2 linked regions of the Kluyveromyces lactis genome follow. The protein of the gene in region 1 binds, or shares a complex with, the protein of each later gene. Links are inferred from orthologs where the notes say so. Each region holds a gene or a part of one and is shown on either strand. Other genes may lie near its edges.

Region 1 (5,367 bases):
CTTGGAAATCTTACTCCTGTACTCCACAGTTCTACAACGTTAGAAACTTGAAGAAACCTGAGGGCTGGCAAAACTTCACATGAATTCAAACGAGGAGAAAAATATAACACTAACCATACATAAAATATACGTGTAACAAGAAACGCTTTTCTTCTTTTTTAGTCTTATAGGAGGACTGTGAAGGATCCAAGTCGGACTTTTTCTTCCTCTCAAGACAACAAACAGAAGGCTTTTTATTGTATTATATTCATTAAATAATTTCTTTCAAAAGAAGTTGTCGTAACGGAAGTGCATAAATAATATCATTATAGAGGGGTCCAGTTCAAATTGAACTAGTTTTTTGTTGCTCGAACTTCTTGAACAACGAATGGGTCAACTCCACTCCCAAGAAAGTGGCCGCATTAGCTGGGAATGATCTCAAAATGGCAGGTCCAACACCAGGGAAGAACCCTTTAATACCACCTCTTGTGTTGTAGATCATGCGCGTCACTTCAAGCATCGATTGACGCTTGGAAGATGATTGTAATTGTGTCTTCACAGTATCAATGGGGAACACTACTACCCACATAGAAACACCTGCCATACCACCACTGATACAAACGTTGGTAATTGACAACTCTCCTGAGGTATGTCCGCTTGCCTTATTCAAATATTCCTTGCAAATCTCATAACTGGCAAAGTATAACGCACTTCCTGGCCCATCACGGGATAAAGTCGCTAGAGAACCCTTGAATAGAGATTGGAAACCCTGTGTGCGCACTATCTGTTTGGCAGCATCCAAAAACGAAGCTTTACCCTGAGTAGTTTGTAAGACAACTTTAACACGTTCAGTGGGTGCAGTGACTAACGTAGTAGGAATTGCACTGATGAACCCTGCTGCTGCCATCTGTGACAATGTCAATTCTGGTTCCACTGCTGCGGCACCACTAGCCGCCGAAGAGGGCACACTCGTGACCAATTTTTTACCTACGTCATAACCCCAGAAGGACACAGCAAAGATTGGAGTAACACCCAATAATGGAGGGACCACACCTTTATAAAACCCACGCACTGCATTCAAAGAAGTAGGACCGGCTGCCTGACGTGCAGCTTGTAGAATATGTGAGACTGCATCCATGGCACTACGTGCTTGGTTTGATTGACATCTGACTTTCACCAAATCAAAAGGATGTCCGGTCAACACTGCACAAACACCTCCAACACCGCCTGCAGCTAATGACTTCAAATTTTCTGTTAATTGTGACTTTGTTTGGGAAACATCATTAACATGCGATGTTTCCAATTCAATTTCAATGGAGGCGTCACTCATTTTTCCCTTTTCAATAGTGTTCGTCGAAGTGATACTGTATATATATACGTTAGCTTTGGTGCACTTTGATCAGACCAATTTCATATACCTCGGTACTGAATGTTCTTCTTATCTAAGTGTATGCTTCAGGTTTGCACCGAAAGGCTGTGATTTATATATCTACGAAAAAAAAAAAAAACGTTTCTCTTCCTCATGAAAGTAATTAGCCATGATATTGCTGATCATTAACATCATATCATCATCATAATCATCAAACATTCAGGATTTTCTTTTGGTCCAGGATTGTGACTTTCTTGGTGAATCATTATAGTCATCACCAAAAAAATTCTCAAGTTAACGGACTTTGTAGAGATAATCTAGGATTGATACAAGGAATCAGTACAACATTTTGTGTGACTGGCCGTTAGAAATAGAATCAGCCCTGAATGCATGACAACAAATGAAAGAACAGATACTCTACAATTTAAGTACAAGGTCATGTGCTGGAACATCTCCAAATTCGCACGGGATCCCTGCGGCTGTTTCCCTGCGTGATCCATTCATTATTTCTGATACATATTCCCTTTTTACCTTATTTTACCCGATGCCGACAGGATTTAGTGTCAGCAAAATTCTAATCGCCTTTTTTTTTTCTATTTAGAGCGGGGGAAATGAAGTGACAAATGTGACACAGGTGGAAGGAGACAACAGTGAAAACAAAAAACATAAACAAAAGATTGCGGACAGGGTTTCACGGATGATCGTAATCAAACAAACCCCGAGCTTTCCATTGTATAACCTACTTAGAATCCAAAACGATTATTTAATACCAATCACGTGATAATAATTTTCACGTGATCTATTTTTCTTTTCTTCAGGTTCTCGCTTAGTCTTATTAAAAGCTTTGAATATCAAATTTATACCTTTTCTTTTAGGTCAGGTAACTAGAATTGTTTAGCATACCGGATAAGTGCACGCAATACAATTACATGTTGTATGTAGTGTATTGACATTTGTGTGATTCAAAAGATCTCTCAATCCAGTAGGAATCACAAGCTGTACTACATATCACGATAGCGAGACATAGACAATACAACTCAAGATATGGCAGCACCTGCAAATTTATACCCTGGTCTTAATGATATTAGTGATGTATTGGAAGAGGTGCCATTAGACGTTTCACGGTACATGACTCTACTCTATGAAATTGATGCTAAATGCGTTAATATAATTCCTGAACTAAATAAATGCATTAAAGGATTCCTTGGTGGGAGAAACGTTCCTGATGAGTCCAAGGTTCCTCTACGTGTGATAAACCAATGGTTTCAAGAGCTGATCCCGTCATTGGAAGAGAAGATGCATGTTTCATCTATAGCCTACGATTCTTTAGAAAGGTTAACGGACAGGTTGGAATTAGCCTACGAGGTTGCTATTTCCAATCAAGAGATTCCAGAGAAGTTAAGACTAGGTAACGATAACCATCCAGCGATGCATTTGCATCGTGAGCTTATGGCTAAGGTCGAATCAAATGTAATGACGAAGTCTCAACAAGCACTGAAAAGTGAATCCCGTAGAGAAGCCATGGCTGCAAAGAAGACAACTGGGGGAACTGCTGTTCAAGGTGGGAACGCTGCTGGAACGGCAAATTCAGGTTCTGTCGGATCCACAGCTGGTTCTACTTCAACTTCTGGAACCGGTGCCTCCACAGCAGTCGCAGGATCAGAACCAGTAGTTGCGGCGGTAGGATCACATGGAAATGCTCCAAACCAAGGAGCAAACACTCAAACAAATGGTCACAACCGCTCTTCCACTATGGCAGGTCATAAGAACGGAAATGCGCATAACCACAACCATAATGACAATAGCCATTCTCATGCAGATGATATACAACCAGCGAACACTAAGAAAAGGAGAAATAACAACGGGACAACTACTGTCTCAACATCTAGTTCAAACAATAACAACTCTTCTGCAAATAGTACTGCCGCACAAAGAAGGAACAAAAAAAGAGTAAACACCACGGCTGCTAACAATGGCGTTACCGGGAGTAACACGACAGCTGTAAATGCAGTCAACGCATCAAATAAGTATCAAAACAGACCAAAGATCAACGAATATGGAGAAGCACTGTATTGTTACTGTAATCAGGTCGCATACGGAGAAATGGTTGGATGTGATGGCGAAAACTGTCAATTAGAATGGTTCCATCTTCCCTGCATTGGCTTGGAAACGCTACCTAAAGGGAAATGGTACTGCGATGACTGTTTGAAAAAGAATTAGCTAGCTGCACCAACATAATATTTACCACCGGAAATAAATATAATATATATCACTGTCTCGTCACTCAGTTCATGATGCATAAATGCAAAAGGAAAAAAACCCTTGAGATATTCAACCTCGATCTCAGCAACTACTGAGAATATAATTGATCTGGTCAAGCATCATTTTTTTGGGAAATTCTATTTCCATTTCCATTTCTTGTCGAAAGAAATAATAATAAGCAAGCAGCAGCATCGTATTGATGAGAAAAAAAGGGTTCCTTCAATTCATGTAATCTGTCTCTTTTCGCATACTTACCGAATTTGAAATAAAAATTTAGAAAAATAAAAAAAATTTTTGTTGTACCTTATAATAATAAGCTTTGTTAAATTCTACTTATGTACGTTGACAACACCTATGCACAATCATTGCTCATATCATAGGGAAAAGAGGGACCTCGTTGTAGATTAAAATAGTGAGGGATTTACATTTGTACACTGCGAAATGTCGTTAAATAAAGTATGTTATTGTGTGTGTGCTGGAATATGGCTTCTGATCTCCTCAGTTTGTCTCTTCTTTGTACATTTCACTTCGTGGTAACATTGGGTCTTTGAGATTTGACAAAAGTATACTAACAGTTCAATTAAAATAATGTTCGAGTATACGTGATGCAATGCCGATGACTTTGTTGAAATATGATGATAAGGTGTGAATTTGCTTCCTCTTCAGGGGGTTTCCCTTTAATTTTAGGTCGTTAATTCATCATTGTCTTTCAGCACTGTCTGCATGTATTATTTGAACATTATTTTCTCTCTCGCAGCCCTGCTGTGACACCTTAGAGCAATATCAGAGAATATAAACTAGTCGTCGTTGGTGGCGGTGGTGTTGGTAAATCGGCGTTGACGATCCAATTAATTCAATCGCATTTCGTTGACGAATATGACCCGACTATCGAAGACTCCTATAGAAAACAAGCGGTCATTGATGACAAGGTCTCAATTTTGGATATTTTAGATACTGCAGGTCAAGAAGAATATTCAGCAATGAGGGAACAGTATATGAGAACTGGGGAGGGGTTCTTATTGGTTTATTCCGTTACGTCGAAAACTTCTTTTGAAGAATTGATGACATATTATCAGCAGATTCTAAGAGTCAAGGATTCGGATTATGTTCCTGTGTTTGTGATTGGTAACAAGTCTGACCTTGAGGACGAAAGACAAGTTTCTTATGAGGAAGGTCAAACTTTGGCCAAACAATTCGACGCTCCGTTCTTGGAAACTTCTGCAAAACAAAATATCAACGTCGAAGAATCTTTCTACGGGTTGGTTCGTCTAATCAGAGATGAGGGTAAGGGATTCAGCAGCAGTAGCGCTAGAGCAGATGCTGAAAAGGATAAACTTGCTAAACTGGAGAATCAACGCCAGGCTTCTGGTGCTACTAACCAAGGAACTACTGGCAAAACTAATACTAAGGCTACCAGTGGCGTAGCAAATGGTTCTGCGTCCGCAGGTGCCGCAGAAGATCAAAATTCTCAATCTAATGTACCTTCTAACAATAAAATTACCAATTCTTCTGCTCAAAAGAACTCTAAAACCACAGAAAACCAAAGAAAGACTCAGACTGGCTCTAAAAACTCTGAAAATGATAAAAGTGGTTCTGGATGCTGTATTATTTGTTAGATACTGAAGTGCCGGTTGTTTAATATCTTAATTACTTTCTCGGTCATTTATATTTCTCTATGTCCAATCGATCACCTCGAAAAAAAGCGAAGAAAACTACCAAAATGTCAAAGCACAATGTCCATACTTCTTCTAGAGGAA
Region 2 (4,002 bases), on another chromosome or scaffold:
TTGTAGTATGTTGATATCCGATATCTCTGAAATAATGGATGTCTTCTGCATTCAATGTTAAGGCCAAACCTAACGAATGCACAGGCGCATCCCCCCATCTTTCTTGCCAGAATCCACCCCACGACTCAAGGTATTCGAAATACTTGTTGTATACTTCATTATCAAATACATCAACTCTAGCAATTTCGAAATTGGACCAAAAATGACATAAATTGTACTCTTCTTGGTCAAATTTGTCTTCAACGACAGGAACTTTCCTCCTGACCCTATGAGCAATTTCTTGTATTAGCTCGTCATCTATGACTTTTTCTCTTGCCCAATTCTTCTTCAAATAGTCAATCAGAAATTCGTGGGTCATTTCTTCGTTCAATTCTTCTAGTTCATTGACAAAGGAATTTAAATAATCATCTCCGAGTAAAACGTTTCTATTCTTAATAAAGGCTTTCCACAGTGATCCGAGTTTGATATCGTTTTGCTTGATGAAACTTCTGGTTGCTCTAAATAAGTTCGGCACAGTCCAATATATTTCTTTGATAAAAATTGTGAAACCGTATTTCTTTCCTGCCTTCTTCATTTCAAAGAATGGATCATAAGTTAGATCACAGAAGAATTCCACATCTGGTTCAATACGCCAGTACCACTCGTATTGCCTAACTGCAGGGTGTTTATAGAAGAGTCCGGAATAAAATCTGCACATCTTATGGTATGAAACCATATTCCCATACATAATTCCACGATCACCCTGGGATTCAACGTAATGCTGAAATAGTGGAGTGTTCTCCTTAGGGAAATTCCATGAGGACTCATCTACAAGGGCAAACGTTATGTTGGCAGTTGTTAATGATCGGACTCTTTCTTGAAATTCATCAGTGAATGGTTCGTTGTTCATAAAAACGTACGGATATTGGAACCATTGATTGAATCTTCTTTCCACAGATCTCATAGTGTGAATTACCCCATCCAGCTCCTCGTTTCTTGTTAACATCACAAATGTGGCATTCTGTCGTTCATATTTTTTGTGATTTAGATATTCTGCAGTATCCACACACCCTTCAAAGAAGGGATGTTCCTTCTTAGAGGCGCGATCCGCTGAGGAGTAGACTACAGCATCTTCCCATATTGCAGCTTCTTCCGTTCGCACAATATGGTGTACACCAACACAAATTAGAAGTGCAATTGTTATCACTATCAGTAGCTTTCTGGTTCTATTCCTCATGAGATAAGATGGAAACTATCAGTAATCATGCAAAAAAAAGTGGAAAAGATGAATGTGTACGTCCCAATAGTTGAAGATGAAAGAATGAGGTTTTATACTAATATTCTTGGTACTTTAATCGACTGTTGAGTTTATGTTTATAAATGGATCGCGTATTGCGCATAAATCATCGTCAATAGATAACTGAAATATCAAAATTCAGATTCTGTTCACTTTTTTGTGCATACATTAAAAAATACGCAGTATTATAAAGTAGTAGTATTACACATGAGATACACTAAAAATACAAGGTATAAGACTGACAATAACGGATAGTATTTGGGACCTAAGCAGTTTGGGAAATATTGGATGACAGAAAAAAAAAACTGGTAACATTTTAGTTTCTTCACTTGTACCCCAGACCAGATTTACAAGATAAATCCAACTATTGATATTCATTTGAATGGGGCTGGTACTTGGCCCGTTAGCTTTCTTATCAAAGATATATCATCAGTAACCTCATCCGGAGTTAAAGATTGAAGAATAGGAGCGCTTTTTGTCGAAAGTCTTTGGTGACCTCGACCCATCTTCTTTTCCTTTTCCTTTTCCTTTCCGAACAATAAAGCCTGTAATTCTGATGAATCGCTCAGATATTGCATCGACTCTGCATCGCTATTAGTATTGCTTGATTTCCCGCTTCCGTTTGCAGGTGTAATGTTTGCAGGAGTTTGAGCTCTATTCTGATTAGTAGCAGCACGCCTACGCAATGACCTCCTATCGGTAGTATTACCAGTCTCATTGCCACTTTCTGTTTGGCTGACATCGTTCGGTGACGAATCCCAAGCCGAAAAATTGGCTGAATTTTGAGTTGAGCTTCTAGTCTGCTTCTGGAATTTCCCTCGAGAATAATCCATCGAATAAGACTGTGTGTTTGCTACATCCAGAAGTAGCCGTTCCTCTTGCAATTTCTTGATAGTTTTCTGTAGGGATTCATACAACATCTCTTTGCACAATTTGATCATCCTTTCATGTTCTTGCTTGGCTTTTTCAATATCTTCTTGGAACTCTACTTTGGACCTGTAAATCCGGTACTCTTCGAAAAGCCTGAGCCTAACTAATTCCAAATCCCTATCTTCTTCAAGATCCCTCAATTTCCTCAGAAATTCAGGGTTATTCCCCTGATGCAGCGTCGTTAAATCTGTCTGTAACAGAGTCAACCTATCCCTATAATGCACATCTTTATCCTTTGCAAACGACGTTCTTATCTTTCCCACTTTCCCTTCAAACTGTAATCGCTTCTTATCCTTCCTACTCAAATCCTGCCCAACACCTGCGGGAATAGCACCCCCATTCTGTTTCGCTCCTTGACCTTTCTTCACACCGCTGCTCATCATAGAATATTGTACTTCATCCATGTTCCTCGGGGGGAGAAGCTGTATTTACTGCAAAAGCTGATATAATTGTTAAAGTGAAACCAGAAAAACTCTCCGGTATCGTTTCTTACCAATTATCCTGTGAAATTACTAACACAGAATAAAAAATTACAATTGAAAACGTTAACACAACGAGTTAATGTGCTGCTCGTTACATGTATCGTGCAACGTATGAGCTGGGTACAAATTATGTACAAATTATGTATAAAGTATGTACAAAGTACAACTGCTTAAGCTGCTCTGATTTAAAAAAAAAAAAAAAAAAATAATAATAATCAAATGAGACAAACAAGAAAATGCCATGCTTCTGCCGTTCGAACCTCAATGCTCCCATAACACTGATTTATTCATTGCAAGTATCACCATTTTCTTTTTTAAATTTTTTATGTTCCGTTTTCCATCTCATTTCCCCGCAGAAAAGTCGCAGCTTCAGATAAGAAAAGCTTAAAGCTGGCCGGTATAAGTGCAGGCTTTAAGTGTGTTGAAAGTTTTTAAAGGCTTTGAACTTTTGGCAATTTTGGTAAAGAAAAGGGAAAATTCCCAAAAAAAAAAAAAGTAAGTTAAGTTATAATATAATGACGATGTGATTTTTTTTTTGTTAGGTGAATAGAAGTGAAATAGTGAGACTAATTCAGAGATAAAACAGTGGTACGCAGCCTGTGATACACATCAGTGTTGTGTGTTATTAGTACAGATAAATCGCTGAATTTTGCGGTGCTTTGAACTACCCCTAATATTCTAATACTTTAAATTTCGACGTTATAAGTGTGTCGATTTTATAAAGCTCTTCTTTTCAGTCTTTCCAGTTCATAGGAAAGAAAGAACAGAGAACAGAGTTTTCGAAAAACATATTGGTTTCCCCTTTGGATATAATATTACCTGACTTTGAGACTTGTATTCCGAGTTGTTTTTGTTGTTTTTTTTTTTGACTGAGAGAACAGTATGGATATTGACGATTATTTGAATGTCGATAGTCCCAGTGACATCGGTGCGAATGTACTGTTAAATCCGGAAGATTCTGACAATTCTCGAGGGTCGAAGGTTGCGCCTGGTTTCAATGCGATGAATAATAGTAGGAAATGTGGTGTCAAGCTGTCTGACTTCGGTGGTGATATACTGTCAGGTTTTAAGGAGTTTGGGTTCAGTGTCGCGAATTCCTTTTCGAAAGAAACTGGTGATAATAACAAAAACGCACCTTCAATCCCTAGTCTTAGTATAAATGGTGTCCTGGCTCACGATATGCTTAATCGCAGTGTGAAAAGTAACGCCCAGCTTCAGCAGCCACCTAGCGTCAACCGTAACAACGGTAGAAATGCTAATAAATATGTGTCACATGAATTGAATATACCAAACACAGATCCATCTTTTTTGTTC

The links.
Region 2: PHO23 (region 1) and SDS3 share a complex: the UniProt entries of both Saccharomyces cerevisiae proteins name them as parts of the RPD3C(L) complex. The link is inferred for Kluyveromyces lactis from reciprocal best matches to the Saccharomyces cerevisiae genes PHO23 and SDS3.

What each region holds. Positions count from the first base shown.
Region 1 is NC_006039.1:1,141,861-1,147,227, reverse strand, and holds PHO23 (Pho23p), read left to right. Parts: upstream 1-2,392; coding exon 2,393-3,568; downstream 3,569-5,367. Other genes in the region: alpha-1,2-mannosyltransferase KTR1, read left to right, coding at 1-83; CRC1 (carnitine:acyl carnitine antiporter), read right to left, coding at 323-1,309; Ras family GTPase RAS1, read left to right, coding at 4,052-4,066, 4,387-5,226. UniProt on the Saccharomyces cerevisiae protein: Component of the RPD3C(L) histone deacetylase complex (HDAC) responsible for the deacetylation of lysine residues on the N-terminal part of the core histones (H2A, H2B, H3 and H4).
Region 2 is NC_006041.1:773,435-777,436, forward strand, and holds SDS3 (Sds3p), read right to left. Parts: upstream 2,611-4,002; coding exon 1,651-2,610; downstream 1-1,650. Other genes in the region: KTR5 (putative mannosyltransferase), read right to left, coding at 1-1,216; DNA-binding transcription factor CRZ1, read left to right, coding at 3,571-4,002. UniProt on the Saccharomyces cerevisiae protein: Component of the RPD3C(L) histone deacetylase complex (HDAC) responsible for the deacetylation of lysine residues on the N-terminal part of the core histones (H2A, H2B, H3 and H4).